Linked DNA regions of Macaca mulatta. The protein of the gene in region 3 interacts with the protein of the main gene of each other region in a pairwise test. Links are inferred from orthologs where the notes say so. Each region holds a gene or a part of one and is shown on either strand. Other genes may lie near its edges.

Region 1 (6,272 bases), on a different chromosome or scaffold from region 3:
GGAATAAGTGTGTGGAATAAAAGTAAAAGGATGATGAGAGAGTTGGGTTGGTGGGGAAGAGAGGTCAAGGAAGCCCAAGGGATGAGTATGACCCACACTGGTAAAATATAGAGGGAAGATGGTTGGGGATGTTCAGAAACAGACAGAGGGTCAGTGTGACAGCATCAAGAGGAAGAGATGCACAAGATGAGGCTGGCCAAGTACCAAAGGCTCTAGGAGTCTCTGGAATCTGTCCCAGGTATGTGGGTGGTATTTTATGTAGGGAACTGACATTATCCTATCTGCTCTGCATGAAGGATTAGAAGAGCCAGGCAAGGAACCAAGGTTCTTGTTAGGAAGTTATACTAGTGGTCCAGGTAAGAGATGGTAGCTTGAAGTTTGATAGTGGTGGTGGCGGGGATAGAAAGAATTTATTAAGATGTATTTAGAGATCTATATAGAAAATAGCATTTATGAGACTATATGATGGTTTTAAATGTGGAGGGTCAAGGGAATGGAGGTGTCAAAGGTGATTCTGGTTGGGTTTCTGGTTAAAGCAACTCCATGGATAGTGGTGCCATTTACCAGGTTAAGAAGGACTAGAAAGTTGTTAGCTTATCTTTGTTGCTATTATTGTTTTTGTTGTTTAATGCATTTTGTTTGTTTTGCATTTGCTTGGAAGGGTAGCAAAAAGGATGGAAAGCAACATCAACAAATCATTTGGGGACAGAGTATGTTTGAGATACTCTAGAAGACCCAGGTCCTGGGTTGTCGTGGCTCCCAGGTAAGTGACATGTATAAGTGAGGTACCTTTGAACCCTGCTCTTCCCTACCATGGTTGTGTATATAAAGCCTCAAATAGGTTAGTTCCCTTAAATAATCTTTAAAGTATTTTCTGAACCTATGCTACTCTATCTTTACCTTCTGCTCTTATGCTAACATAATGTTAATGTGGTCATTAAACACAGTTCAGAGGGATGTTGGTGTACTGGGCTGAAGAGTGTCTCCCAAGAATTCATGCCCATCCAGAACCTGTGTATATGACGTTTGGAAGTCAGGCCTTTGCAAATGTAATCTGGTTAACATGAGGTCATACTGAATAAGGAACAGGTCCTAAATCCACTATGAATGATGTCCGTATAAGAAGAGGGAAATTTGGACACAGGGACAGAGACAGAGAGGAAGATGCCATGTGAAGACAGAGGCAGAGATTGGAGTTATGCTGCCACAAGCCAGGGAATACCTGGGGCTACCAGAAGCTGGAAAAGGCAAGCAAGAATCCTCCCTTAGAGGTTTTGGAGGGTGCACGGCCTTGCCAACACCTTGATTTTGGACCTCTAGCCTCCAGAACTATGAGAGAATAAATGTCTGTGGTTTTAAGCCACCCAGTTTTGGTAACTTGTTATAACAGCCCTAGGAAACTAATATAGTTGGGAAATTTAAGGGAATTAACTGAGCCTGAATCATTATATAGGACACATAGTATAGATTCAGTAAATATCCATTTCCCTCTTACTCATAATGGTCATCACCATTTTCCTGGTGATTTAAATTATGAGTAATCCATACATCTACTCATCTAGGTAGGTCTTACTATTCCCAGGACTGTTTTATAAGTGAGGAAACTGAGGCTTAGGAAAGTTAAGTAATTTTCCCAGAATCACAAAGCTAAACACAGAAGAGTCAGATTTCAAATGCCTGCCTCCCATACCTACAGCATTTCAGCAGGCCCTGACAGAGTGGAAAGGCACTGCCAGACTAGATTTTCAGTGCTTAGATATTAACTGATTCAATGCTTAGATATCAATTTTCAATTGATATCTAATTAATAGCAATTAAAACTCACATTATTAATAAAATAACAAGCTGCAGAGACCTAGTACAATCTCTACCTATTCACAGAAGAACACACAATTTTTAGTCTAAGGTCAGCATTACCCAGGAACTTGCCATTGGCTTCTATTGCTTCCATTTAGCAGTGCACCTGCCTTGCACATATGTATTCCAAGTCAAGGTATTATCATCAGATTGGACATTTATGGCTTTGATTTACTTAAATGCATTTTCCTTATGTATTCCTCCACTTCATTTTGATGATACTGACTCATTCTCGCCACCTAACAAGACTATAAAAATAAATAGCACGAGTGCAGAGGAAACTGTCTCCAAACTTCATATCCAAGATGCCTATCCTTTATATTATAAAGCAAAAGATAAACCCATACTTTAAATTTACCTTTCTCCCTAACTAACCTGTTTACCTTTCTCCCCAACATTGAGTTGTTGTACTATTGAATATAACAGATACACAAATCTAAGGTGGCAGAGCTGTTATTATAGGGTGTCATTTTCATATAATTCTAGTGTGGGAGGGGCTTCTAAAAAGCATCTTGTCCATCTGTATCAGGTAAGAAAAAGAGTGTCTACAGCCTCCAAGCCCCAAAAGAGAAGCGGTTGCACTAAGAGATTTTGTGAGTTACCTAAGACCCTGTGGCTATATCTTGGTAGAACTCTGTAGAATGCCAGGTTTCCTGATTTCCCTAAAAGTGTGTTCAGTCTTTCAAGCTGTCATCAACTATTAACAATGACACTTTCCTCTGGCTTTGTGCCAACTTTTCTTTTTGTTTATTATTCTGGCCATAAAAAGATCACCATAAATAGCCTCAGCGATTCAGGTTTCCTTAATTGATATCTAATGTTGACAAATTAACTCAGCCCGAGTTGAAAGCTCCATATACACACACACACGGTTTCAAGAAGGGCGATCGCGCTTATCCTCCAAACTGAGCAGTGATGATCCCTGGACTTCTCAAGTTTACCCTCTAGGAGGCTGACATGGCACACAATTTTGACAAGAGTTTGGAACCGAGATCCTCTTCCACGCCCTGCCCACAAGGGTGCCCACAAGCAGAAGTTCTCTCTCTCTCTCCATTACAACCCACCACGCGCGCGCGCGCACACACACACGCGCGCACACACATACACACACACACACACACACACACACAAATAACAAAGGAAAACACAGCCCCATAAAGGCTCAGCTATTGCATCCTCCAGTCCACACCTGCCAAAAGACAAAAACCATACGGGAATCCTGCCCTGGCAATATGTCCAGCACTCCTCGGGAAAAGCAGCGCCGTGACACCCCCAGGGTGTGCGCGGCTGTATACACACAAAGAACTGGTGCTGGGCTTGCGAGCGGTTCGGGGTACCAGCAGGATCTCAGGGCTGGAATCCGGGGTTCTCCTCCACGCCCTCCCGCCCAGCAAAATGGAACTATCCTTTATTTGACCCGTAGAGAGCCCAGGCTGGATAGTAGCGCAAGGGTTGGGGGTGGGCGGTCCCCTATCCCTACCCTCCAGGCAGCAGGTCCCTAGCCTTTGCATCTCCTAGGAGATGCATGATCTCGCTGTCACGGAGGTCCTCTTCGCATCCTCTCCCATCAAAGCGAGATGCTCCGGGTACCAGCGGCGCGCATCCCCGCAGGCGCCTCTCCTCGCGCGGACACCCACCCAGGCAGCCCCGACAGGCGCGCCTGCCTACCTGGTGGCCGGCTGTCAGCGAAGCGGCGGTGCCTCAGCCCCTTCTCAGCTGCTACAGCGCTCCCAGCGCCATGTTCCCGGTCTCCCCGGGCGCACGCTGGGGAACTACTACGGGCTGGGTAGGGGCAAGGGGGGCGGGGGCCAGCGGGAGGGGGTGGGAGGCAGAGCCACAGCTTTCTACTCTCCACCCAAACCTCCCCCAGTTACTGAGCATGCCCAGCTGCCCGGCTTCGCTCCTCGGAGGACTGTCCATGAGCGCACGCAGCTGCTCCGGGTTTTCGCTGCAGCCGGCGGGAGGCAGGCGGTAGCTGCGGCCGGGGGTGGAGGTGAGGGGGAGGGTCGGGGGGCGTGTCTACACTCCGGGTGCAGGAGCCGGGAGCTGGAGCAGGCGACCAATCCAGTCACGCTTACTCCCAGCGGTCCCCGGCGGGGGCAGCTCCTGCACGCCCTCTCCCCCAGCACTCGGGATTTGCAGAAATTTTGTTCAGGACCATTGCAGGATTGAGCTTTGCTTAAGAGGCTAGCAGAGGTGGGGAGGAGGAGGGGCTGAGAAGCAGAACATCGGGTTGGCTGCTTTGCCACCACCTGGACCGGTGCTTCTCAAACTTTAATGTGCCTGTGAATTAAAATGCAGATTCAGATTCAATTGGCTGTGTCCTGAGATTCTGCAAGTCTAACAACCTCCCAAGTGATGCTGCTGCTGCTGGCCCTCCCACCACTCTGAATAGCAAGGATCTAGATAACCCCTTATCTGTGACCTCTGAGTGGTCATCCTTCAATCCGCCAGCCCAGCAATGGTCTCTGGTGTCCACAGAGACTCCTCTAGCCTGGGGTTGCTGGGCCTTCCCTGGAAGGAGTCTTCGTGGGGGTAGGCTCCACGAAGCTTCTGACCACCCAGCTTCTCCTTGGCTGCTGTCTGATTTACAATTTAAGGCCCAGGGGAAGAAGGATTCCTGGACCTTTTCATGCTCACTTTGCTAGTTGACTAGTAAGCCAGTTGCTGGTTGAGCTGCCCTGATCAAGTCTGAACCAGTCTGCCTTGGCTGTCCCCTTGCCTTTCCTGAGCTGGGACAAAAACTCAGACTGGGCATCAAAGTGTTTATTGTCTAATAGCAAGCTTGGGCTTGCCCAGTTAAGAAAACTGACAGATTATGACAAACATATAGCGCATTTTTGGACCAAGAGATGACAAGCCTTTGTGTTGAGTGATGTTTGGGCTGAAGTTTGCAATGATATTTGGCGGTTCAACTTAAACTTCCCAGTTGCCTACTGACCTCCCAGACTCTTGAAGTCTCCAGCATTATCAAGACTCTAGTGAATGAAAGACATTCACGAAGTAGTCCTGAGGTTTCACCCTTGGAAATGAAGAAGCCACGCCCTTGTCTGTCTTCAGCTGCCACAAGGGTACCCTTATGAGCTAGTAGTGGATACGGAATCTGATCCCATAACTAGATAGCAGGTTACAAAATAAGGATTTGTATCTTGCCATTCCCTACTATACTCAATGACCTTAGACAGTTTTCTAGCTAATAGTATAACAGTTATCATTTCCCCTTGCTTGTTTTCCATTCACTTAGTACCTTTAATATCGTACTGGCCATCTCAAAACAGAAACCACAGGATAAATGGATGATTACTTTTCTCCCTCAGTAGTCCTGTGTCCTTGTGTATCATACTCTCTTTTTCCATTTAGAGGAGTAAGAGCCTCTAAATTCATCTCTTCCTTCTCAAAGCTGCACACAGCCCTAACAACCTACCCACTGCCACCACTGTCACACCCACAACTATATGCATAAGTATTCTCTACTTTTGATTTTCTTATATGTGTGCTCACATAGATGCAAAAGCCAGAACATATTTTTACTGAGATAGAGTTTGTCATTGGTTAGTATCAGTTAAAATTTTTATTTGGAATGTTGAACTTTAATCACTTAAAATAGCCTTCCTGTTATACATAAAGTTTGTGTTCGTATGTTTGTTTCTGCTAGTTAAATATGATGATGATTGTTAGCTGCCTCAAATTTATTTTGGAAGCATGCAAGGTAAAAATTATAGATGAATAATAATACTATTTCTGTAAATACTGCATTGCATGAATTCCTAAGGGTTTTCTTTGTATGTAATGTCATTTCTTGAGAGTTTAGTCTGCAGTATTTGACTAACGACCAACATCTGTGGGTGGGAGTGATACAGGAAGCAGGAGCAGGCAGAGGTGGAAGCTAAGCTGTGATGCAGGCCAATTGCAGTCTTTGTCAGCCCCTTAGGGAGCTCACTAGCTAGGATGATTCTTCAGAATGACCATGAGTTGGTCTGAGATAGTCAGTCTTTTATATCCACATCAATCATTGAGCATGGGCTGTTCCTAGGAGGGGCATGAACTTAAGACAGGCAGCTCTGGCAATCCTTAAAGGCAAAGACAGCTAAAGACCTCCGTCAGCTGTAGTCCCTACAGCTGCAGTAACAAATCCTTCACTTAAGGGGAATTTAGGCAAAACATTACTTTGTCCACCACATTGATATATTTATTGAATACAGCACTTTTGAACACACAAAGTAGAACTCTACTGATTTGTCAGAGAGATTGTAAAACTTTATTTTTAAATAAGTAGTAGACTTTCTCTCTGGCTCAAAGATTTAAAAGTTGGAAAATAACCCATAATCAGCCTTCGAGAGTATACTATCTATTTAGGTATCTGACTGTATGCATTTTTTATAGGAGGAGTTTAATTATGATTTATTGAGCAGGCA
Region 2 (5,773 bases), on a different chromosome or scaffold from region 3:
TCAAAAAAAAAAAAAAAAAAAAAAAAGGCCGGGCGCGGTGGCTCACGCCTGTAATCCCTGCACTTTGGGAGGCCGAGGCGGGCGGATCACGAGGTCAGGAGATCGAGACCATCCTGGCTAACATGGCGAAACCCCGTCTCTACTAAAATACAAAAAATTAGCCGGGCGCGGTGGCGGGCGCCTGTAGTCCCAGCTACTTGGGAGGCTGAGGCAGGAGAATGGCGTGAACCTGGGAGGCGGAGCTTGCAGTGAGCCGAGATCGCGCCACTGCACTCCAGCCTGGGCGAGGGAGTGAAGACTCCGCCTCAAAAAAAAAAAAGAAAGGGCTGTGAGGATATAGTGGGCCTAGGGAATAATCGGGTCAGGGGCATGGACTTGGGTGACATTTGGGTGCGGGGTCACTGTTAAGACTAGAGCCCTCAGGCTGGGCGTGGAGGCTCATGTCTGTAATCCCAGCACTTTGGGAGGTCAAGGCGGGTGGATCACCTGAGGTCAGGAGTCCGAGACCAGCCTGGCCAACATGGTGAAACCCAATCTCTACTAAAAATACAAAATCAGTCAGGTGTGGTGGCAGACGCCTGTAATCCCAGCTACTCAGGAGGCTGAGGCAGGAGAATCACTTGAATCAGGGAGGCAGAGGTTGCAGTGAGCCGAGATTGTGCCACTATACTCCAGTCTGGGTGACAGAGTGAGATTCTGTTTAAAAAAAAAAAAAAAAAAAAAAAAACTAGAACCCTCCTACTTAAAAAAAAAAAAAAAAAAAATGGAGACAGGGTCTTGCTCCGTTGCCCAGGCTGGAGTGTGTGGTGCAGTCATAGCTCACTGCAGCCTCTACCTCTTGTGCTCAAGGGATCCTCCCACCTCAGTGTCCTGAGTAGCTGGGACTATAGGTGTGTGCCACCATACCTGGTTCATTTTTTATTTTATTTCATTTTATTTTGTATTTTTGTAGAGATGGGGTCCCGCTATGCTGCCCAGGCTGGCTTCGAATTCCTGGCCTTAAGTGATCCTTGTGTCTCCACCTCCCAAAGTGGTATTACCAAGGTCAGGCACCATGCCCGGCCTTAGAGTCCTGTTTGAATTTGGGGGCCCTCTTGGGACTGGGCTATTATTTGGGTCTGAAGGCACAGTCGGGTCTGGAGACCCTGGCATCCTACCCGGTCCTCGCGGCTGCCTGTCTCCTCTTCTTCAGGGCCTCGCGAACTGCAGCCGTCGCTGCTGCCGGGGATTCGCATCAGGTTCTTTTGCTCGGAGAAAGAGGCTGAGGCTGACGAACAGCGACGGGTGGAGTTAAGCGATGGGCGGGGTCACAATGTGTGCAGACCAATAAGCGGGAAGAGAGAGGACTGGGAACCAATGAGGCAGATCGGGTGGGGATGTTGGAAACCGATAAGAATCCTTCACACCTAGGAATGTGACCCTAGGAAGGTCTGGTTAGGGCTTAAGGAGGGAACCAGAACCTGAAGGCGAGCTAAGCCCTGAGCAGAGCTGGAAATGGGACTGGAGCCAAGGCCCAAGGCCAGGTCAGGTCACTGGGCAGGCAGGGTGTGTGTGGGGCTGGGGCCTGAGGAGCTGGGGCGGGGCTCAGGCACTAACCCTTGCCGTGGCGCCAGCAGCAGAGGGCCACCCCAGTGATGACCATAAGGAGAGTCGTGGTGGCAGCGGCCACTCCGGCCACTATCCGCACAGTGGGCAGCAGGTCTGCAGGGAGCAGAGGGGACATCCTGAGAAGGCTGAGGGGGAACCAGGAAGCGGGGGCTCAGGGATTGAGTTTGGGATCCCTGGGTTCAAAAGGTCGCACATTTGGAAATTCAAAGGCCCTTGAATTTGGGGTTCCCCAAGTTTGAGAGTGAGTTTAAACTCCCTGGCTTTAGGAAGTCTTGGAGTTTGAGGGGTCCTTTACTTTGCAATTTGCTTTGCAATCGTTGGAGTTTCTCTTTTTGGGGTCCCTAGGTGTGAGGAGTCTCTCGGTTTAGGATTCAGAATGTGAAGGCACTTGTGGTTGGGGGGGTCTTGGGAATCAACGAGCCACAGTTTTGAGACTCCCAAGGTTTGGAGGTCTCTGCATTTGAGGGTCTGAGGTTTTGCAACCATCGGCTGGGGGATCCCTGAGTTTGTGGGGTTTAGACTCTCCAGATTTGGGGTCTTAGGGCTGGGGTCTCACCTCTACGGCCCAGGCTGGCCCGGGCACCTCCCTCGCCCAGCCGGTTCCGGGCACTGCAGTTAAAGTTCCTGCTAAAGTCAGATTCCTGAGTCCTCGAAATGTGTAGCACAGAGATCAGGCCCGGACCCTGTCCCCCGCGGCCCTCCGGGGCAGGGAATGTCTCCACCAGGAACCGGCCCCGCGACCCCGCCTCCAGAAAGCCCTCATCCCAAGACCAGACCTGGAGGCATAAAAGAGGGAGGACACCGAGGAGACTGAGGAGGGGAGGAAGAAGAAGGAGGGATGTCTGGGAAGTCAGAGATGGTCACAGTAGTTTCAGGGGGCCAGGTGGGAGGTCAGGGATCACAGCTGGATGGGTCACGGGAGGAGTGACATTTCCTTACCACGGCATCTGGGGCGGGAGAGGCGAAAACCAGACACTGGAGGCGAGCAGGGCCCCTCAGGAAGGCAGGCTCAGAGTGCAGGGCGGTCACTACTGGGGGAGCTGGGATGGAGACGGTGGGTCACTCAGAGGAGAGGCCTTGCCCTCCCCAAAGGCTGTAACAAAGCCGGGTCTGGCCAGCGCACTCTCCGCTAACCTTAATCAATCAGGCCATGCTGCCTCCAAACTCCAATTCCCCTAAAAGCCTCGCCTTCAATAGGTCGGTCTCCAGGCCCCGCTGGGTGTAAAGCTCCTTCCAGGTCACTCCCACTGCATTAGCCCTTGCCCCCTCTGTCCACTCCCTATCCCAGGACGGGCTAGGTCCCCTAGGAAGCCCCGCCTTCTCACCGTTCACAGTCAGCCGAGCCTCCGCGACGCCACCCCCCTGGTCCGAGAGCCCAGGCTCAGCCCTGCACACATAGTCGCCTGCGTCCTCCGGCCCCACCGACGGAAGGCGCAGTGTGGCTCCAGAGCCCAGCACCTGCGACAGGGAAGGGGCGTCAGAAGCCGGATTTGCAAGGAAGCCTGGTCCCCCGTCAGCCACCGCCTCAGATTTAGGGCTGCACCTGCGCGCCACCGCGGCGGGTCCAGGTTACCCGTGGAAGCGGGTTCCCGCGCCAGGCACAGCTGAAGGAGGCGTCTTCCCCCACGTCCACTGACACGGGCTCTGGCTTTGCCTGCAGAATCGGCCCAACTGGACGAAGGAGATGAGGGGTCACAAGGCCGGGGAGGAATAGCCCCTGACCCGGGATCAGCCCCATAGAAACACCACACCCTCTAGGGCGCAAGAATATGCCCCAAGTCCACTCTCTCCTCCTCCTAATACCCCACGCCCACTCTCCCAGCCCCGCCCCTCCAAGCCCCTCAGCAACCCTGAAAGCCTCGCCCACCTTTGACCACACCCACAGCCCCGCCCCAGCTCACACAGCACATCCAGCGCAGTGCTGCGGTTGGCGCTACCCACGGCGTTGCTGACCTCGCAGGACACGGGCTCAGTCAGGAACGAGGCGTCTGCCACGACCTCCAACCTTGGCCCGCGGGCCCCGAGCACCGGGGAGCCCCCTTTTGCCCACCTGAGGAAATGGTGGCGCTGTTAGCGTTGTCCCTGCTCTCCGTCACACTTACTCAGGTCCCAGCCCTTCCCAAGCTCACTCTTGGGGCTAGGGAGAGGTGGTCTTTGTCCTCACCTGTAGCCTGTGACAGGAGGCTGGGCTGTGGCCTGGCACAGGAAAGTGACCTTCTCTCCCTCCTGCACAGTATGTGGTGAAGCAGACAGAGTCACCTCTGGGGAGTCTGTGAGGGTGGGACAATGGTCAGGTGGGCAAGGACCAGGAACACCTCTGTCACTGGCCTAGGGGTCCAGTTCCTGGTTCCTCCACCCCAGGAGTCTGGGCCCCTAATCCCCTTCTCTCTTTGAGTCAGGAGTCTGGGCTTTCAGTTCCCAATTCCCCCAGTTACTTCTATCCTTTCCTACTCTGCAAGATGTGAGAGTCAAGACCCAGCTTCCTCTTTCCCCAGGGACCCCAGCCATCTGTCCTCTCCTGCTCCGAGTCTCACTCTGTTGCCGAGTGGCACGATCTCAGCTCACTGCAACCTCTGCCTCCCGGATACAAGTGATTCTCCTGCCTCAGCCTCCCAGGTGGCTGGGATTACAAACATGTGCTACCACGCCCGGCAAATTTTTGTATTTTTAGTAGAGACGGGTTTCGACATGTTAGCCAGACTGGTCTCGAACTCCTGAACTCAGATGATCCACCCACCTCGGCTTCCCAAAGTTCTGGGAGTACAGGCATGAGCTACCATACCCGGCCCTCTCCTACTCTCTTAGATCCAGGAATCAAGGTCCCAGTTTCCTCATTCCCCAGGGGCCACAGTCCCCTCCTTCCTCATACCCAGGAGTCAGGGCCCCACACCCCTTTTCCCCAGGGCCAGCTGCACTCACACTGCAGGCTCAGTGTGATAGCTGTGTCCCTTCCCGCAGGCAGGGCCTGGCTCCGGGCCCTGCAGACCAAGGTGGCTCCATCGTCATGGCTGGAAGGGGTCAGGGTTAAGGTGCTCTCCACTGATCCAGGGGTCCTTTCCTTCAGCAGGGTCTGGAGGGATGGATAAGAATAATAATGCCATCTACCCCTTACATCAGGGGTGTCCAATCTTTTGGCTTCCCTGGGCCATATTGGAAGAAGAATTGTCTTAGGCCACACATACTAACACTAATGATAGCTGATGAGCTAAAACAGTTACAAAAAAGGCTCATAATGTTTTAAGAATGTATATGAATTTGTGGTGGGCCACATTCAAAGCCGTTCTGGGCTGCATGCAGCCCACAGGCAACAGGTTGGATAAGCTTGCCTTACTTATATACGGTTCACTATGTGTTGGGCACTCTTCTGGGAACTTATAGGTATTTATTTATTTAATCCTCACAATACCCTATGACATGCATGCTATTATTATTCCAATTGTATAGATAAGGCAACTGAGGCACAGAGAGGTTAACTAACTTAAGATCAATCAACTAGCAAGTGGCTGAGACGTGATTTGAACCCAGGTAGTCTGGCCCTAGAATCTTTACCCGGCATCATATTTCAAGAGTCCAAACCCTTGAACCCCTGCCCTCCCATGTCTTCTTCTCCTCGGGATGAGCCTGCAGTCAGAGTGTACCCCAAGTTTTCCTGAATGGGCAAAGGCTAGCACAGGAATTTGGACCTCACCTGATGGAAGGTGGTTCCATCCAACCGGACCCCATCTCGGAACCACAGCAATTCAGGGGTAGGGCGGGCATCCCCACGGCTCCGACATGTCAGGTTCACAGGAACTCCAGCAATGAGAGACACAGAGGGGCCGCCCAGCACCTGGGGAGCTTCTGGGGGGACTGCAAGGTGGATTTGGGGTCAGAGATGGATCCGGATCCTCTCAGCTCCAATTGACCACTCCCCTGGGCTCCCTGGACTCCGCTACTCACAGCTAGTACTGGTTGCCCCCTTGGGCTCCCAGGGGACAAGTGGGCGAGGTCCTTACCCAGCACGTGCAGTTGGGCTGGTCTCGAGCGGAGGCCTGCTTGTGTAGCCTGACATTCATATGATGCTTCATCCTCTAGCTCCACGGGCCTAATGTGGAGGTCATGCTGGCCATTGGCTGCATTCCCTGATATCCAGTACCGGGACCACCCTGGAGTCAGGGAGGAGGCA
Region 3 (6,421 bases):
CCCTCACTCATACTGGGGCCAGATAGCCCCAGTATAGTTTCACAGGCAGGTCTAGGTCAAGGAGCTGGACTGGAATTTTTTTTTTTTTTTTGAGACAGAGTCTCGCTCTGTCGCCCAGGCTGGAGTGCAGTGGCACAATCTCGGCTGTCTGCAACCTCTGCCTCCTGGGTTCAAGTGATTCTCCTGCCTCAGCTTCCCGAGTAGCTGGGACTACAGGTGTGTGCCAACATGCCTGGCTAATTTTTTGTATATTTAGTAGACATGGGGTTTCACCGTGTTAGCCAGGATGGTCTCGAACTCCTGACCTCATGATTGCCCGCCATGGCCTCCCAAAGTGCTGGAATTACAGGCACGAGCCACGGCACCCTGCCTGGACTGGAATTTTTAAATAGAGATAGGGTCTTGATATGTTGCCCAGGCTGGTTTCAAACTCCTGGGCTCAAGCTATCCTCTTACCTTGGGTTCCCAAAGTGCTGGGATTACACGCGTGAGCCACCATGCCAGCTCAGATTTTTTTTTTTTTTTTTGAGACAGGGTCTCACTCTGTCACCCAGACTGGAGTGCAGTAAGTCCATCTCAGCTCACTGCAATTTCCACCTCCCGGGTTGAAGCGATTCTCCTGCCTCAGCCTCCCGAGTAGCTGGGATTACAGGAGGGCACCACCACACCCGGCTTAAACATTTTTGTATTTTTAGTAGAGACGGAGTTTCACCATGTTGGCCAGGCTGGTGTCGGCTAGGCCTTTTTGTTTTTGTTTTTTTGTTATGAGTTGGGGTCTCACTCTGTTGCCAAGGCTGCAGTGCAGTGGCACGATCATGGCTTACGGCAGCCTTAAACTTCTGGGCTCAGCCAGGTGAGGTGGCTAATGCCTATAATCCCAGCACTTTGGGAGGCTAAGGCAGGTGGATCACCTGAGGTCAGGAGTTCAAGACCAGCCTGGCCAACATGGCGAAAACCCACCTCTGCTAAAAATACAAAAATTAACTGGGCATGGTGGCAGGCGCCTGTAATCCCAGCTACTCAGGAGGCTGAGGCAGGAGAATTGCTTGAACCAAGAAAGTGAAGGCTGCAGTAAGCTAAGATCATGTCATTACACTCCATCCTGGGTTACAACAGCAAAACTCTATCTCAAAAAAACAAAACAAAACAAAAAAAACCTACTCTGGGCTCAAGCAAGCCACCTGCCTCAGCCTCCTGAGTAGTTGGGACTACAGCCACATGCCACCATGCCCAGCTAGGTTTTTCTGTTTTTTGTAGAGATGGGGTTCTCACTATGTTGTCCAGGCTGGTCTTGAACTCCTGGTGATCCTCTGGCCTCAGCCTTCTAAAGTGCTGGGATTACAGGCGTGAACCACTGTGCCCAGCCTTGTCTGAAATTTGACCTGGACATTCTCAGCCTAGGCCCAGGGAGAGAATAGGAGGCCCCAGGCCCATGGGGCTTGCTGAGGACACCAGTGGGGGCAGTGGTTGCTCCAGCCCAGTCAGCCTGACTCTAGTAAGCATAACTCTTGAGATCTCCCACACAGGTCCACAGGTGTAGACACCTGCATGCTGCTTTGCCACTCACAAAGTCCATGCCCACCACCATCTCATCAGATCTCACAAAAGGCAGGCAGGACAGAGTATCATCCCCATTTTACAGATGAGCACAAGGAGGCAGGAATAGAGCAGGCTTATGCCCGAGGTCACTCAGTTATCAGGACCCAGGTCCCCTGCCTCCCAGGCCAGAGCTCTTCTGTCTCCCTAAAAATACTGCCCTGGTGATGAAGGGGATGATCAGCTTTTAAGGGCAGGGGGACAGGAGATGCACTAGAGCCTGGCTCTTCTCCCCAGCTGCCAGCCCTGTGATTGGAAGGCACCCAGAAGCCTTTCCAATGCCCCATGCCAACCATTCAACTCTTCTGTCCCCCACCCCCAACATGCCCACTATCCAGGAGGACCCCGGCCAGGTCCCACAGCTGTGAGTCAGGATCAGAACAGACCCCTCCCCCACCTTCTAGAAGCTGACAGGAGACTTAAGGGGAGAAATTCAACTCCCTCAACCCTCACCCTCTGCTACCGGGCACCAACCCCAAGCTCTGCTCTCCCCCATGGGACCTGGAAGTCAGAGAAGTCTAGGGAAGGGGGCTGGGGAGCAGGATCCCGCAGCTGCTCTGGGGACAGGAGAGGAACAGTTCATTCACCCTGGGTCCCCCAGGGCAGAGGCAGCCTGTCCAAGATTTGAGTTTAAAAATAAGTTGGGGCTGTCTTGGTGGCTGTGTGTGTCCACGGGGTTCTTCTTGATCTCGAACTTACTGTCTCAGGGCCTCTGCCCCATGGGGGATTGGTGGGCTCAGAGTTTCTGTTTCCCCAGAGCCTCACTTCCCAATGGTTCAGGTCTGGGTAAGTCAGGGGCTGTCCTGGAAGCTGTCAGCCCACCTAGGTCTCTCTGCCCCCACTAAGTCTCAGTCTCCGGTGTCTGTCTCTGCTTCACTCAGCATCTCTGTGTCTGGACACAGCTTCTGTCTTTAGCTTTTGGACGACTCTGTACCTTGACTGGCTGTCCCCCGGCGGCCCATGCCTCTGTGGATCTCAAGTCTTGGTCTCTTCTTGTCTACATGGCTGAATGTCTCAATCCCCACCACATCCCTTTCTCTGTCTCTATATCCAAGTCTCTTTCGCCACCTCTGCATGCCTGAGTGTCTCTGTCTCTAGTCTCTGAGTGTCTCTGCAGGCCTCAGAGAGCAGATTCAGCCTGAGGCCAATGACGCCCAAGCCTCAGGGCACCTCCAAGGCCTGGGGAAGGGCCCCAGGGAATGTGTTCGCTGGGGTCCCACGTATGTTTTCTGAAAATGCTCCAGAAAGCCTGGGACGGCCCCCATGTCTCGGGTCTGTCCACCGGTAACACTGTACGCCCGGTGTGTCCTTGTTTCAATGGTCTCGGTAGCCTCCTCCTGTGCCTCGAGTCCCTGCCTGTCTTGGTCTCTCGCTCCACTGGGCTCTGCGAGAACCTCAGTTTCTCCAGCGCTTCTGGTCGGTCTGTCTCTATCCGGCTTTTCTATTTCAAACTTAGCCCCCTCCCCCGCCCAACTCTCGCTGCCACCCCCGCCCCCGCCCCGCCCCGCCCGGCAGCCCGGAGGGGTCTAGTCCGGGCGGGCGCTCTCCCGGGCTCGGCGTGCCCCGGGCACCTGTGGCCAGAGCCTGGCGGGTACAGGGGGCCGGGGCCGCGGCTGGCCTCAGCCCTCCGCGGGTCCTTTCGCTCCCCGGCCTGGGCGCGGGGGCGGACTGCCGGGGCTGGGAGCCGGGGTCGGCGGGGCGCTCACCTCGAAGCGGGCGGCGGGAGCGGGGAGCGCGCGGCGCGGGCGGGGCGGGGAACCGGGCGCCGCGTCCCTCGGCGGCTCCTACCTGCGGGCCGGGCCAAGCGGGGGCCGAGCGAGCTGCCGGCTAGGCTGCCGACTGCAGACGGACCGTGTGGGCGAGTGGGAGCGCGGCCCCAACCCCTCCCCGAGGAAGTGAGCGCGGGCCCGCCCCGCCCGGACCCCGCCCCCGGCCCCCCAGCCCGCTGCGGGGGCCAGACCCCGCCCCCACCTCCCTTTCGGCCGCCAGCGGGCCCGGCCCCCTCCTCCTGCCCGGCCTAACCTGGCTCTCCCAACCTTCAGGCGGCCGGGACCCCGCCCCTGTCCCCTCCCCGCAGCCTCTGCTCTCCTCCCCTCCCACCCCCCCCCCCCCCCCCCCCCCCCGTCCCCAGCTGCCAGAGGGAGACTGTTGTATTCTATCTCAGGCCGGGGACATCAGACCCCACAGACCATGGTCCACTGGGGAAGAGTCCTGTGGCCTCCTCGGATTTCCCCACCCCCTCACCTTACCCTTAGGGGTGACACTCAACCTGGCCTTAATCCAGCCTGGAGGAGGAGGTTTTGACTCTACTGTCATGAGCCTGTCAGCGGGCACCAATGTGTTCTCTGAAAACATGGGGCGAAGAGAGGACCCCTCCCCACCACAGGGCCTTGACCTCCAAAGGGTTTTACTCCACAACTTTGAGTAGCAAAAACAGGGGTAACCACCTCCCCACCTCCAGTGGCCTCCTGACGCTGAGAAGTCCTGTCTTGCCTGGGTTTCCGCAGTGCCCAGGAATAGTTTTGACCTTTGAGGCCCAGGAGAGACCCTAATCCTTGGCCCCATGATCTTTGGGCTTCTAGGGTGGGGTGTGAGGAGTGTGAGAGGATGGGGCACTGCAGGGGTGGTGGAGGAGAGGGGAGGGGACCTCTGCAGTGTCTAAACCTCTGGCTTCCTCCCTGTGTCCGTGAGGGAGGACTGGCGCCTGCTAGGGACACGAGGCCCCTCCAGGTCCTTGAGGCCACCCCCCCTGGGATCCTCAGGCTTGTCACTAGGAATAAATAGCCTCGGTCTGGAAGGGGTGGGGGAGGGAGGGAGGCAGGAGGCTCTACTGTGCTGTTAGTGGAAACAAGAGACAACAAAGCAACCCTGGAATAACCTTAGCGTCTAGAGTGAAGATTCAGGTGCCCACAGAGGCCTCCCCACACCCCAGGCTGGGTGCAGCGGAGCTCTCACAGAGGAACTAACACCCTCCCAGGCTGGGACTCCTGAGAACCTTTCCCTCCCATCTCTGTGTCATGCCTGGGTTCCTGGGTCCCAAGTCACCCTCCAGGCCTGGTTTCCTTTCAAAATTAAATTATTGCTTGTTTATTATTGCTGTTGTTGCCTAAATGGTAAGAGCCATGAAGGCAGGGCTCCGTTTTGTTCCCCACAGCCTTCTCAGTACTTACTTCAATATCCGGCACATAATAAACATCTGATGAATGAATGGATAGCAGACACTGCTTCAGTATGTATGCCCGTCTAACATCCTTGGTTTGTATCACAGGCACCTGTTATCTGGAGTCCAGGCAGTGAGCATCCAGCCCATGGATGGGGACTTTCTCTGGGATTTTTTTTTTCTTTTTCTTTTTTTTGAGACAGAGGCTTGCTCTGTCACCCAGGGCGGAGTACAGTGGCGCAATCTCGGCTCACTACAACCTCCACCTCCTAGGTTCAAGCGATTCTTCTGCCTCAGCCTCCTGAGTAGCTGGGACTGCAGGCACGCACCATCACACCCAGCTAATTTTTTTTGTATTTTTAGTAGAGACGGGGTTTCACCATATTGGCCAGGATGGTCTCAAACTCCTGACCTTGTGATGTGATCTGCCTGCCCCAGCCTCCCAAAGTGCTGGGATCACAGGCATGAGCCACCATGCCCGGCCTCTCTGGGATGTATCTGGCAGGTGTAAGGGACTCCCAGCCCAGGGGAGTGCAGTGAAGACTACTCAGCCTTGGTGGAGTGGGTACCAAGAGGAGGTCAGCTCTGGGGGACGGGAGCGCAAAGGTGGGGAGCCTTCAGAAAGCAAGGGGAAATGAGTGAGTACAGAAGAGGCCTGATAAAAGGCAGAGTATTGGAATCTCTGTTCTTGATGCATGGCTCTAATCTCTCCTAAATAGTCTTAATGAGAGCCAGTACTTACTGAGTTCTTTCTTTGCACCACTCCTAAACACTTTACATATATTAAAGTGATTATTCAATAACTTTATTAGATATATGTGCATATATATTTGTTTGTTTTTGAGACAGTGTGTTGCTCTGTCACCCAGGCTGGAGTGCAGCGGTGCAATCACAGCTCACTGTAACCTTAACCTCCTGGGCTCAAGTGATCCTCCTACCTCAGTCTCCCAAGTAGCTGGGACTACAGGTGTGGGCCACCACACCCAGCTAATTTATTTTAATTTAAATTTTTTGTAGAGGCAGGGGTCTTATTAAGTTGCCCAGGCTGGTCTTGAACTCCTGAGCTCAAGCGATCCTCTTGCCTCAGTCCCACAAAGTGCTGGGATTACAGGCATGAGCCACTACTCCTGGCCTAAATATATATTTTCATCCTCATTTTAAAGATGAGAAAATGGAGGCACAGAGAGATTAAGTAACCTGGCAAGGGTGACACAGGTAATAATGGCAAAGCTAGGATACAAATCCTGATGGTTGGCTGGGCATGGTGGCTCTTGCCTGTAATCCCAGCACTTTGGGAGGCTGAGGCAGGAGGATTGCTTGAGCCCAACAGTTTAAGACCAGATCTGGGCCAGGCGCGATGGCTCACACCTGTAATCCCAGGATTTTGGGAGGCCAAGGCAGGCGGATCACGAGGTCAGGAGATCGAGACCATCCTGGCTAACACTGTGAAACCCCGTCTCTCCTAAAAATACAAAAAATTAGCCAGGCGTGGTAGCGGGCGCCTGTAGTCCCAGCTATTCTGGAGGCTGAGGCAGGAGGATGGCGTGAATCCGGGAGGCGGAGCTTGCAGTGAGCCACTGCACTCCAGCCTGGGTGACAGAGTGAGACTCTGTCTGAAAAAAAAAAAAAAAAAAAAGACCAGATCTGGCAACATAGTGAGACCCC
Region 4 (6,247 bases), on a different chromosome or scaffold from region 3:
CCCACGCCGCATCCTGTCAGGGGAGAATAAGGCATTTCTGCCAAACTCTGCCCTCCGAGTAGGCACCCAGTCCTCCTCCCATCCTTCCCGTACCTGTTGTTGTTGTAATATTCCAGGTAGAATCTCCTGGGCCGAGACAGTTCCTCCACTCGGCGGGACACTGCTGCGCAAAACGGGAAACGGAGTCGGTGAACCCCAGCGTAAACACCCTGCAGTTCCCAGGGGCTCTGCATGCGGAATTCAGCTTTTCACGAGCTTGGGCAGGAGGCCGAATTGGAAAAACTGTGGGCAGAGACAGCTGGGGACCAGACACCCTGCAGAGAGAAGACTTGCTGTCCCTGATTTAGGGACAATGGGCTCAGAGGCCTGAAGGTCCTTGCTCGGACACGGGATGGGAGTGGCAGGGCTGGAATGGCAGCTCAGCCCCGTGGCTCCTCAATGGGGCTCAGTACAGATCTGGGAAACTGGGTTTTGTTCTGAAGTTAGTACAAGCCTGGGGTTTCCGGGGGCCTAGTGATGACTGTGGGTCTAAAGTCAGGAACAGCACAGGAGAGAACTGGACTATTACTCTCCTCTATGGGGAACTCTCGAAGTGTCTCATTTGAAGGCATCTATGATACCTCAATACCAAATTCCTCTCAAGAAAAGCATGGAAATCATTGTGGAAGGGAAAGCCGGGGGTCTTCTTGTAAATTCTTGCCCCGATTTGGCCCTGTCCTGGAGCGTGTTCCCCACAACCCTCACCCCCAGGACCAGTCTCAGCTCAGGCTCCTCAGGGGACAGACTCCAGTGGAGAGGACAGAGGCTCCCAGGATATGGGGCAAGGGAGGCCAGAAGTATCTGGATGGGGTGGGGCAGGTTCCCTGGAGGCCAGCAGCCGGAGGCAGGGGTCTCAGCAGGCACGGGCTCCACCTACCGGGCACTGTGATGGTGAGGGTGGTGTCCTCAAGGAACCGCTCGGTCCAGTACACAGAGGGCCTGGAATAAGTGAGCAGCTCAGGGCAGGGGAGGCAGAGAGCCCTGGCCCTGCCCGGAAACAAGCCTGGGTCTCTGCCGGGAGGGTGGCCAAGGGCGGGTGTGGAGTTGCTGGAAGAGGGGGTAGGAGGGAGGGGGCCACCGGGACGTGTGGATTGTTGTGAGCAAGGCTGATGTCCAGAGAGGGAGGTAGCTGGGGAAAAGCATAGCTCAGAAGAGGGCCCAGGGCCATCTCCTGGGAGCAGACCCAGGTCCCAGCCGATTGCCCGAGTCCAAAGCACAAGGGTGGAGAGCCCCACATCTGAGGAGCCCTCCCCATCCTCCTCCCTAGAGAGAAGAGGGTGGCTCGAGTGGAGGGGCTCCCCGGAACCTGACACGTGTCCCCCGGCATAGGCAGATGGAGGAGACAGCCCTGGACTTACCAGTAGAGACAGAACCGTAAGCTCATCTTGCATGGGAAAATCCAGGCATACCCCTTACCACAGCATCCCTTCCTGCGAGGAGACAGGGTCCGAGCCCCCACTGCCTTTTGCCCTGGGTCTCCCGTTTGCTCCCAAACTCCTCACTCTCCTTTGGCCACCGCCCAGAGGGCCACCGAGGGCCGCAGTTCCCTAGCCAGTCCCGGCGTCTGGCCACCTCCTTAACTGGCCAACCCCGTCTACCCTAAGTTTGCTGGATGTGGTGGCGGTTGTGGGAGGGGAGCCGAGCAGTGGGGACAGGAGGAGCCCGGGAAGGGGACAGAGGAAGCCCCAGCGCTGCCCCCACGAGGCCATGGTTGGTCTGGCCTGTCCTCACCTGTCTCTCAGGACTTGCCAGTTTATCTTGGGCTCTGCCAGCTCCATGAGCCTCCTCCGCCGCCTCTTCCTCCTTGCTTTGGCCATGATGGTGCTGGGGAACTTCTGGCTGATGGACAGCCGGCTTTGGGAGAATTCCACGTTGAAGTTGGAGCTGCTTTCTCGCCCTGACGCGTTCGGGGGCCCAGAGAAGCGTAGGTCTTGCTCGAGCGCCCTGCCCACCCGCCTCTCCTTTCCTGAGAAGGGTCTCTGGGGGAGGACTTTGGCACCACGAAGGCCTGGACCAAACCGCAGCTCCACTGCTGGCTGGATGGAAGACCCTGGCCAGGGCACCCGGCTCCCCAGGCCCTCAGCCGCCTCCTCTGTGAATTGGACATGAGACCAGCTCCCACCTGGTGGGGCTGTTTCAGTGAGTTCTAAGATAATGTTTGCGCATCTCACAAACATTTATCAAGTACCTACTGTATGCCAGGCCCCAGAGGGGCCACCAGCCTCTAAAGAGAGCAGCGCCTGCCTCCCAGAAAGCTCACAGACCGCGGGAGGGACACAGGCAGCAGGCGAAGATGCCAAACGTCAGGACGTCTGCCCTGTCGCAGCTCTTGGCTCCCGTGTCCTCCCCGGGAGCCCCTCACACTACTGCCGTTTTCTCTGCAGGCTAGCACGGCCCCGTGAGGACAGGGCCGCTGCTTTGTTCTTGGGCAGCACGGAGACCACGGTGAGAAGGGAGCACCTGGGTGTGGGCGTGGGCCGGGACCACACTGCAGGGAGGGCAGGAGCCAAGTTCCAGAGGTAGGTACAGTGCGCGCCTTGCTGCGGACACTCGGGCAACTTGCCCAGAATCACTGCCCCCAGTGCCGATTCGCTGAAGCGTTCGTTCACCCTGAACGTGTTCCTCCCGACCATTTAAAACGTTTTAGCCACCTGTGGTGCTTAGAATTGTTTCAGCTTTTGAGTTGGGAGGCTTTTTTTTCCCCATTTCTTTTTCTCGCTGTCTGACTTGAGGTCATCACTTGTTAAACTGTGAACTCTGGGCACCTGAACTCAGTCTGCCTGACTCCAAACTCAGCGCTGTTTACTCCACCTCCTGCCACTGGCTAGGGGAGCGTGTGCTGGTGTTTGCCTCAGGGCCCAGTGAGGGGTGCTGGCCGCCAGCTGACCAGGCCCACACCTAGGCTGACTCGGCAGCCTGGGCCCCTCGGCGAGCCAGGCCAGCGGCCGGGAACAACGCTTTCGCACGCCCAGGGGCCTGCGCCCAGGGGGCTGCTGCCCTACCCCACCGCGCCCGGGCAGGGCCGCTCCGCGGTGCCCACCTGATTTCAGGAATGTCCTCCTCTAAGTCCTTGTCCAGAACTCTCTCCAACTCAGAAAGAGCCTCTTTGGGATCCAGGGTCTCCGAGAACTCCTCCCCGGCCACCTCCTCGGGGGGAAGCTCCTCTTCCGGGTCCTCCGGTCCCAGCTCCGCATTGTCCGGGTCCTGGTGTTCGGGGTCTGTGACCCGCCGGCTCTCGTACACAGAGCTCTGGAGGCCACGGGGGTCACCGCTGAGCTCCCTTTCCAACCTGCCTGCAGCCTCAGAGCTGGGCTGGTTCCCGAGTGACCTTCGCCTGCTGTCCCCCATGTACAGGTCCCTTCCCAGCCCCCGCGGCCTCACTCCCTCAGCACCCAAATGTGTCTGTGGTGGCCGCGGCAACAGGAGAGTGTCCCCCACATTCTCCACAGTCCACATTCTAACCCCTGCGCTGTCTACAATGCCGGTCACCTGGGCTTGCGCTGGCATCAGGACTCAGTCCTGGCAGTCGTGGCTCACAGGGACCTCCCAGGACTGGTTTAGGAAGGAGGCCTGAGGGGACCCTGCAGGGGTTATCTAGATATGGCTTCCCTCTCTTAAAAGGAGACACAAGGAAGAGACCGCATTTCCCGTTGCTGTCACTGCTGGGCCCGTCTGTAATGTCCAGAGCCCAGGCAGCCGCCTTGTGACCATGAGGCCTGCCAGCCCGAGGGCAGATGGACTGAAAAGCGGGTCTTTGATGCCCTTGTCAAGCCTCTGAACTTAGCAGCTCTGGAATCCACCCTGTGTCCAGGCTTCTCGTTACTTGAAACAATAAGTGTCCTCAGTACTAAGTGGTTTTGGCGAAGTTTCCAATCCGCAGCAGCTAGAACTGCACCCTCAGGGATACAGACCCTTCCGGCTCCAACCTCTCCTGAGAAATAACTTCAAACTAGGCTGTTCGATTCTCACAACAAAATCATGGTTATAACTGGAGTATTCCCCAGGCTGCAGCCTTCCGGACCTCCTTGCAGCTCGTCAAAGGAGCTGAATTTCCCGCCTCTGCCACACCGTGCCCCACCCAGCCTTTCCCCCTCCGTGCCCCCCTAGCCTTTCCCCCTCCGTGCTGTGCCCCCACCCAGCCTTTCCCCCTCCGTGCCCCCCTAGCCTTTCCCCCTCTGTGCTGTGCCCCCCTAGCCTTTCCCCCTCCGTGCCCCCCTAGCCTTTCCCCCTCTGTGCTGTGCCCCACCCAGCCTTTCCCCTCCGTGCCCCCTAGCCTTTCCCCCTCCGTGCTGTGCCCCCACCCAGCCTTTCCCCCTCCGTGCCCCCCTAGCCTTTCCCCCTCTGTGCTGTGCCCCCCTAGCCTTTCCCCCTCCGTGCCCCCCTAGCCTTTCCCTCTCCGTGCCCCCCTAGCCTTTCCCCCTCTGTGCTGTGCCCCACCCAGCCTTTCCCCTCCGTGCCCCCTAGCCTTTCCCCCTCCGTGCTGTGCCCCCACCCAGCCTTTCCCCCTCCGTGCCCCCCTAGCCTTTCCCCCTCTGTGCTGTGCCCCCCTAGCCTTTCCCCCTCCGTGCCCCCCTAGCCTTTCCCCCTCCGTGCCCCCCTAGCCTTTCCCTCTCCGTGCCCCCCTAGCCTTTCCCCCTCTGTGCTGTGCCCCACCCAGCCTTTCCCCCTCCGTGCCCCCACCCAGCCTTTCCCCCTCTGTGCTGTGCCCCACCCAGCCTTTCCCCCTCCGTGCCCCCACCCAGCCTTTCCCCCTCTGTGCTGTGCCCCCCTAGCCTTTCCCCCTCCGTGCCCCCCTAGCCTTTCCCTCTCCGTGCCCCCCTAGCCTTTCCCCCTCTGTGCTGTGCCCCACCCAGCCTTTCCCCCTCCGTGCCCCCACCCAGCCTTTCCCCCTCTGTGCTGTGCCCCCACCCAGCCTATCCCCCTCCGTGCCCCACCCAGCCTTTCCCCCTCCGTGCCCCACCCAGCCTATCCCCCTCTGTGCCCCCACCCAGCCTTTCCCTCTCCGTGCTGTGCCCCCACCCAGCCTTTCCCCCTCCGTGCCCCACCCAGCCTATCCCCCTCCGTGCCCCACCCAGCCTTTCCCCCTCCGTGCCCCACCCAGCCTTTCCCCCTCCGTGCCCCACCCAGCCTTTCCCTCTCCGTGCCCCCCTAGCCTTTCCCTCTCCGTGCTGTGCCCCACCCAGCCTTTCCCCTGTGCCTCTGCCCAGCACTTCCCCCTTCTGTGCTTGGTGGTTTTCTACTCATCATTGAAGACTCAAGCCTGTCGGTCCCCCATGCAGGGAGAGTCCCTGACCATCCCTCCCCTTTCTGGGCTCCCAGGCCTAAGACCCCCACCCCCACCCAGTGCTAGCCCACCCCAGAGTCCTGCTGTGTCCCTCACCCCTGCCACCAGTGTGGGGCCAGCCGTCCGGGCATGTGACCACTTGGCACACAAGAGACCCAGTTCATCAACACACGCAAAGCCCTCTCCAGCTCCCCGTCCCATCTCCCGGATGCTCTGCTCCCAGACGCAGCCGCGCCATCACCGCTGTCGGGAAAGGGGTCTCTCGGAGGACTCCAGGCAGAAAGGCCCCTGGGAGGGTCTGGTCCCATCCAGGAGGCCGTGGGAAAACCCCCTTTCTTGGCCTGAAGTTTCCTAAACCCTCACCTTGCACTCAGTGACTTATTTTTCTTTCTTTTTTTTTTTTTTTGAGACAGAGTCTGGCTCTGTGGCTCAGGCTGGAGTGCAGCGGCGCGATCTCAGCTCACTGCAAGCTCCGCCTCCCGGGTTCATGCCATTCTCCTGCCTCAGCCTCCCGAGTAGCTGGAACTACAGGCGCCGCCACACCCGGCTAGCTTTTTGTATTTTTAGTAGAGACGGGGTTTCACCGTGTTAGCCAGGATGGTCTAGATCTCCTGACCTCGTGATCCGCCCGTCTCGGCCTCCCAAAGTGCTGGGATGACAGGCCTGAGCCACCACGCCCGGCTATTTTTCTCTCAAGTTAAACCTGACCAAGATCTGTGGGTGCCTTCCACAAAGAGATGAGTTAGGCATTGCTGCCGCTGGAGGGCCTGTGGCCACTGCGGTTTCCAGGAGACCTCGTTCAGAGCGCCGCACCCAAGGCTGCTCCCTAAACCTGCGCCAGTGACACGGGGTTAAGGATCTGGCAACCTCCAGCTCGCAGCACACCCCAAGCACGCAGGCTGCAGCGCGTTTGGCCCTCACGGC
Region 5 (6,352 bases), on a different chromosome or scaffold from region 3:
TCTTGCTTTGCTTCCTTGGAATCCAATGTCCTGAATTTAAACAACCAGTTAACATCTAGAACAATAAAAGGTTAAAGATAGAAGGACTATAGAAATTACTTACGCTGATAGTTAGGAGTACAGATTTTGGAGACCTGGTTGCTATCTGACCTCTGTGAGTCTTTGGGGGTAGTTACTGAACTCTCTGACTAGCATATATAAAACAAAGATAATTCTTCCTTTTCATAGATGGCTAAGAAGATTAAATAAATAACAGATTGAATTGCCTGTTATAGTATCTGACTTGTAGTAGGTATAGTAGGTATAATTAAATAGTAGTAGCTGTTATTATTTATTACAAGTTGTTTTCCCATAGTCACTCAACTAATTAGTGCTAGATTCAAGCCTCTTGAGTTGCATCATACTTATGTCCTTGCTACTAAACTTGCTTCTTTCGGTGGCCGGTCTTAAAAGCAAAATCATTGCTAAAGGAAAATCTTAAAGTAATAGAGTATTTGTGACTGATTGCATTTTTCTTTAAGAACATTCTCATTAATAGCTTGGTCATTATCAATGTCCCTCTTTGATGATTATAGTTTAAAAAGGGATGTTACCATTATATCCAAGAAATTCCTTATGAAGCCTTTTAAATTCATCTTACTTGAAGTCTTTGGGGTGGATGCCTTTTAATAATACTTGTTTCTCTGTGTTCCAGTGGGATGTCAAAATCCACATCTCTGGATGCTTGAAGGATTGGAGAAGAAACAAGAATAAAACGTTAAATATAATTTACTATTAGATCAGGTAATCATTAGTTACTAGACTTTATCAACACAATTTTGTACCTTTCCAGTTATATATGTCTAACCTGTAGGTTGAATGTGGAGATGAAACACAGAAAGCAGGGAACCTACATTAGTGCAAATGACACTGTTTTAGTCTAGACTTGGGATTTAATATCTGCTCTCCTAACTTCCTACTCAGGTTCATATTTAGGGGAAGAATTACAAAATTACCAATATGTTGACTGCAAATATTTTTCAAACAGAATTTGGCCTGGAAAATAGAAATTTATTGACTTGTTTTAATTCCATAAAATCTCCTCACTGAAATATAAGACATCAGAAAAATATATAACTTTAAAAAATGAAAATAATCTTCTTAGATGAAATAGATGATAGATAGATAGATAGGTGATTATACAGAGATGAGACAGAAATGGAGTATGTGTGAACACAATTCAATAGCCCCTTTAGTGAAAAAAATTTCCACAGATTGCCACTATAATACAGCATATCAATATTCTTTCCTGATGAAACAAGCCAGGGATACAGAGTTAAGCCTCTATTAGGAAACAGAGAGGCTCAACAGATCCATTATGGATTTTATTTTCCAGCTTGATTATCCTGAGCTCTTGGGAGTGCTACCATGACCAACGCTGCATGAGTGCAGTTCTTGTCTTTCCCTTTTAATAATCTGGACACATTCTGATTTCTAGATTGTTTCACAGAGTATTTTACAGTCCCACTTTGCATTTTAAATGGAAAAATCCATGGATAATTATGCATCTTTCTCTTTAAGACATGTGAATGACCGCTTTAAGGACTTTGTTCTCTCTGACTTTTAGTGGTATGCAAACTATGTCCTTATTTTCTTTTGAAAAGATGCCAGCATATTGAGCAGGATGGAAACAACAAACATATTGGATTTAAAAATGTAAGTATTTTCAGCTATTTTTTCAGAAATCTTACTAATCCTTATTTTTTTATTTTAGTGATGTTAGTCCATTATTTAATTAGATTCTCCTCAAATGGCATAGGCTGTGTCAGGCATTTATTTTTACCCCTGATTACAAGTGAAAAAAATTGATGAAGTAACTTGCCCAAGGTCGTTCGATTTGGTATTTGATGGAGCTGCGGTGAGAATATGGGAGATCATCATGAGAATCCTCATGATCTCCTTGTTATTTATTTTCAATGTGATTTTGTCACTTCAGACATAAGCATGTTTTCCAGTTGGGACTCTAAAGCACATGAATCAGCTTTCACCATTTATTCAGTTACCTAAATCTTTTTTTTTTGAAACAGAGTCTCTCTCTATCACCAAAATCTTAAAACTCTCAATGGGGATTTGGATAAAAAGGGAATTCCTCAGTAGGAGCATTGCATACTCTTAGTGCACATTCACCCTCCATTTTTTAAATCGTGTCTTGTCACCTATTCGTCTGTCATAAAAAATTTCCTAAGGGGAAAATTCCCATCTATGTGCTTAAGAACTTGAAGACCATAAAGAACATAAAAATAGGCCATATAGAAACAACCAAAGGTTATCAATTCTGCAGACAGTAGACATGAAAAATCATTCCAGGCAAGATTTGCTAGGTACCAAAAGAGAATGTGAGGCTTTCTGAATGAGGCATCCAATAAGGGAAACTTATTTGTGTTATTGATCCAGAAGGTGAAGGAAAGGGAAAACAATATACATATGCATATATATATATAAAAAATAAACATATATTTTTCTAAGTGAAGATGTCTGTTTAATTATCATTGTGGTCATGATAAAACATTTTACATGGCTTATAAAATATTCCAGGATAATTTATAGCCACTTCAGGCTCAGAGCTTCCAATCATAGTGGGAAAGAATTCTGTTAGTTCTGCAGATGACCATGAAGAATGTGGGGTTGGGAAAAGGGTGACTCATCCACTCCAATGTACTGTAATAAATCAATTCTGTTTAGGGTGGTTTCAAAATTCATGTTAGAATTAACTCACTCTTAAAGTGCTGCTTTCAAAACCACAAAGCCCGGTGCATAAAACTATACTGGAGAGAATGATTTAAATTTAGAATTTAACTGAAATGCGATTGCTATCATTTATCACATTAGTATCTATATAATTTTAATGGTCTGTCAAAGCTAGGTATAAATATTGAAAGCATTACAAACTGAGCTGAAACAAAATGATTTATCCTTCTCATATGGAATGGTGAAAAGCCCTTTGTACAGTTTATACTCCCATTCTAATGCACCCAGAATACTTTCAATTGACATTCAATCCTCTTTGAAAGATTTGAGTTTTCAAAGATAGCCTAAATTCCTCTACATTTCAGTAATTTAGAAACTTTCTGAGATCATGGAGACAGTCAGATAAATCTATTAATAATGCTCCTTGGTCCAGATACACACATCTCATGCTGGGTTTTATGTTTACCTGCATAGTATCTTCCATACCAGTTTTCTTGTAAAGGTGGCAGCTGCCCTTCCAAGGCTTTATTCTGGTCCTGCAGTCTTGCCAGTGAATGTGAAGTCTTTTCTTCCAAATTCTGATTGAATGCAAAGTCCACAGGGCCAGCTGAGGGAGTCTCTACCTCTTTGTTTTGCAAAGGTGCTACTTTGATCACCCTCGGGTGAGTCTTAGAGTGACTCAGGCCCATTTCATGTGAAAGACATTCAGAGGAAAGCTGCGAGGAAAGTGGTTTTGGGGTCTTTAATATAGCTTGTTTTAATCAAGGCATTTCAGAAGTTTACCCTGGCTTTACAAAGCAGTCATTTCCTTCATGGCATCCTTCTAGCTCTGTTTCACTGCACACTAACCCTTTTGGCCACTTCCTGGGAGGCTGGTTTCCATGGAGACTTCCCTTCAACTTTGCCATTTCAGACCCAAAGAATCCAGTTAAACATTGACTTGGTTATGCTGCTTTCTGAAATACTCAGTGATAGGAATAGAAGCCACTATTGATCATTAAACAAATATCTAACACCAGGAAGATTATTAACACAGAGAGAGATGTAGAGCAGAGGTTTAGAGAAGTCTTGAACTTGACGCTTTCACTGCAAGCACCTTTGTAAAAAAACTAACAGCTGAGAATAGCTAAGCCATCTTTGCAACTAAGAGGATGCATGCTAATTACCAAGGCCTTGTTAATCTTTAATTTAATTGAAGAATTTATCCTCCAAGTAGGAAAGAAAGCAGCGGAGTGGCTAAAGCGTCATTTGATTTTTCTGTTGATGACTTCAGTTGCCTTTGAAGGGGATGAATACATTGCAGGACAGGAGGATAATAGAAACTTTTTTCCTGGGGATGAGGGGAAAAACTTCTTAAACATAAAAAGATAGCCTATTTACTATGTTTTTAAATTTAATTAAATTCATTTATTTATTTTTGAGACAGAGTCTCACTCTGTCACCCAAGCTGGAGTGCAGTGGTATGATCTTGGCTCACCACAACCTCTGCCTCTCCAGTTCAAGTGATTCTCCTGAGTCAGCCACCCAAGTAGCTGGGATTATGGGCACCTACTACCACCACACCCATCTAATTTTTGTATTTTTAATAGAGAAGGGGTTTCACCATGTTGGCCAAGTTGGTCTCAAACTCCTGATCTCAAGTGATCCACCTGTGTTGGCCTCCCAAAGTGTTGGGATTACATGCATGAGCCACAGTGCCCGGCCTATTATGATTTTTAAAGTAGAAAAAAGACTAGAAGGAAATATGCTGAAATATTGAGTAGTGATTTTTGAATGGTGGGATTATGGGTGATTTTTATTTTATTCTTTATACTTAGAAGTGGGACTAACTTTCAAGCTCTAATTGTTCATGACCACAGATTACTTGTGTGTTCATCACATCTCCATAGAGAAATTAAAAGAAAATGTATTTTTCATCTTTGCAGAATCCATTTCCTAAGGGACTAAGGTGGTGTTTGGAAAGTCTTGGTAGACAATCACATTTATCTAAAAAGATGCCTGAATTTAGTTTTTTCCTTATTCTCTTTGCATTTTCCACATCATTTTCTCTGCAGCAGAGAGATTTATAAGTAAAGACTAATATATTAACAGTATCTGCAAACAAAACAACTTTTGGTAAACAGACTAGTTTAATTACAAGGATAAAAATACTTGAACAAGGTCTAGTAAGATTTATTTTGGGGTACAATCAGTTTAATTATTTCTAAGGGCAGAGGAATGTATTACAAACTAACAAATGAACTAGACATTGTGCTGAAAACTGTGGACTTCATGGATCTGGACCAGTAAGAGGGATTCAGCTCTTATGTTTTGTTTTATTATTATTTAATTTTCAGACAATATTTGTGGAGAACATGAGCCTTTGTTGAGGAAATTGGTTAGTCATTGAAGGAATGATTAAAGAAATAAAGATGCATTTCTGTGTTTCTTTCTCTTTTCATTACTAATGACTATCAAGCTTTGTGACTTTCCTGATCTGTGAAATGGGGTTAATAATAATACTTTGTGGGAAATGAACCTGATTCCATTTATAGCACTTAGAATAATACCTGACATGTAGTAAGCTCACAGTAATCATTAGCCAGTATCCTCCTCCTCTGAGGAAGTATTGCTACATATCTACATGTGCATAGGATAGTCCTTGTTGCCAACTGGTCAGAAATTAAAACAGACATATTCCTGTCTAAAGGAGTTTGCCCCTAGGTATAGAAAAGACCAATGAGGGAAGGGTAAATTAATCTGGCCAATGTTACTGGGAAAACCACCATGTCTAAGGATTATCATGAGAAAATATTCATACGCTGAAAGGATTTTGTTAAAATGATAGTGAAACATTTAAATTTTATGAAAAGAGAAAAAGGAGAGTTTAATTTCACGTATAGAGTTCGATATAAGATGTAATTTCTTATTGCTAGAGTTGTAAAACATTAAAAAGCTCTCACCCAACTAAAACCTTGACTACTTCCCAAACACTTTATGGATACTTTATAATGACCACTCCCTAGTTCAAGAATGACTGTGACTATACATTATTGTGTTTAAAAATGATAAAATATGCTGTTATTTGTAACAGTCAGAATTCATGAACATGGAATGAGAATATTAATTTATAAAACTCTTAAGATGAAGCTCAGAAGCGATTAGCTAAAGTTTTCTAAAGCTGAAGATAGTGTCCAGAGAAAAATGTATTAAGAGAAAGTGGTGAGGCCCCAGAGGAGATGGGGAGGAGCAGGAACTCATAGCCAAGTGTGCTATTTCTGCCAGGAAGAATGAAAGCCCTCAGTCTGGAGCAGCTCCACAGGCAATGTGACCTTGAAGTTCCCGAGAAATAGCCATGTACAAGCTCCAAGTGCTTGGACCTTTCTTGCCTTCTGTAGAAAATGCCTTCCTTCAAGACATGGAGTGAACCAAGCAGGAAGAAGGCAAAATATAATGTCTATTTCAAAATATACATTCATTTTGAAGTTAAGAATCTTAGCTTTTGTTCTGGGTTCACTCCTAACTAGCCTTGGGGGCAAAACTATCAAGCAATCTTGTTTAGTGAATATAAGTTCTATAGAAACTCAATACAAATTCATTATGAGATGTGTGGATTTTTCTGCTAATAACAGAAAGTTTTACACTT

The links. The genes of interacting proteins can lie anywhere in the genome.
Region 1: the proteins of FHL3 (region 3) and PAK5 interact in a two-hybrid assay, tested with the Homo sapiens proteins (2 studies listed by BioGRID and IntAct). The two-hybrid records come from large-scale screens. The link is inferred for Macaca mulatta from reciprocal best matches to the Homo sapiens genes FHL3 and PAK5.
Region 2: the proteins of FHL3 (region 3) and KIRREL2 interact in binary tests that used the Homo sapiens proteins (3 or more experiments, as listed by UniProt). The two-hybrid records come from large-scale screens. The link is inferred for Macaca mulatta from reciprocal best matches to the Homo sapiens genes FHL3 and KIRREL2.
Region 4: the proteins of FHL3 (region 3) and SPMAP2 interact in binary tests that used the Homo sapiens proteins (3 or more experiments, as listed by UniProt). The two-hybrid records come from large-scale screens. The link is inferred for Macaca mulatta from reciprocal best matches to the Homo sapiens genes FHL3 and SPMAP2.
Region 5: the proteins of FHL3 (region 3) and CCDC198 interact in binary tests that used the Homo sapiens proteins (3 or more experiments, as listed by UniProt). The two-hybrid records come from large-scale screens. The link is inferred for Macaca mulatta from reciprocal best matches to the Homo sapiens genes FHL3 and CCDC198.

What each region holds. Positions count from the first base shown.
Region 1 is NC_133415.1:74,156,827-74,163,098, reverse strand, and holds the start of PAK5 (serine/threonine-protein kinase PAK 5), read right to left. Parts: upstream 3,676-6,272; 5' UTR 3,526-3,675; intron 1-3,525.
Region 2 is NC_133424.1:47,104,758-47,110,530, reverse strand, and holds part of KIRREL2 (kin of IRRE-like protein 2), read right to left. Parts: intron 5,754-5,773; coding exon 5,604-5,753; intron 5,458-5,603; coding exon 5,297-5,457; intron 4,679-5,296; coding exon 4,528-4,678; intron 3,879-4,527; coding exon 3,773-3,878; intron 3,659-3,772; coding exon 3,510-3,658; intron 3,280-3,509; coding exon 3,152-3,279; intron 3,067-3,151; coding exon 2,934-3,066; intron 2,649-2,933; coding exon 2,548-2,648; intron 2,385-2,547; coding exon 2,165-2,384; intron 1,702-2,164; coding exon 1,597-1,701; intron 1,268-1,596; coding exon 1,158-1,267; intron 1-1,157. UniProt on the Homo sapiens protein: May regulate basal insulin secretion.
Region 3 is NC_133406.1:202,787,001-202,793,421, reverse strand, and holds the start of FHL3 (four and a half LIM domains protein 3), read right to left. Parts: upstream 3,490-6,421; 5' UTR 3,303-3,489; intron 3,016-3,302; exon of another isoform or gene 2,673-3,015; coding exon of another isoform or gene 2,531-2,672; intron 1-2,530. UniProt on the Homo sapiens protein: Recruited by SOX15 to FOXK1 promoters where it acts as a transcriptional coactivator of FOXK1.
Region 4 is NC_133424.1:1,025,321-1,031,567, forward strand, and holds the start of SPMAP2 (sperm microtubule associated protein 2), read right to left. Parts: upstream 3,676-6,247; 5' UTR 3,547-3,675; coding exon 3,080-3,546; intron 1,894-3,079; coding exon 1,771-1,893; intron 1,470-1,770; coding exon 1,398-1,469; intron 979-1,397; coding exon 917-978; intron 164-916; coding exon 94-163; intron 1-93. UniProt on the Homo sapiens protein: May be involved (but not essential) in spermatogenesis.
Region 5 is NC_133412.1:130,593,135-130,599,486, forward strand, and holds the start of CCDC198 (factor associated with metabolism and energy), read right to left. Parts: upstream 3,676-6,352; 5' UTR 3,417-3,675; coding exon 3,194-3,416; intron 724-3,193; coding exon 641-723; exon of another isoform or gene 636-640; coding exon of another isoform or gene 594-635; intron 1-593. UniProt on the Homo sapiens protein: May be involved in tuning the metabolism, energy expenditure, and excretion processes.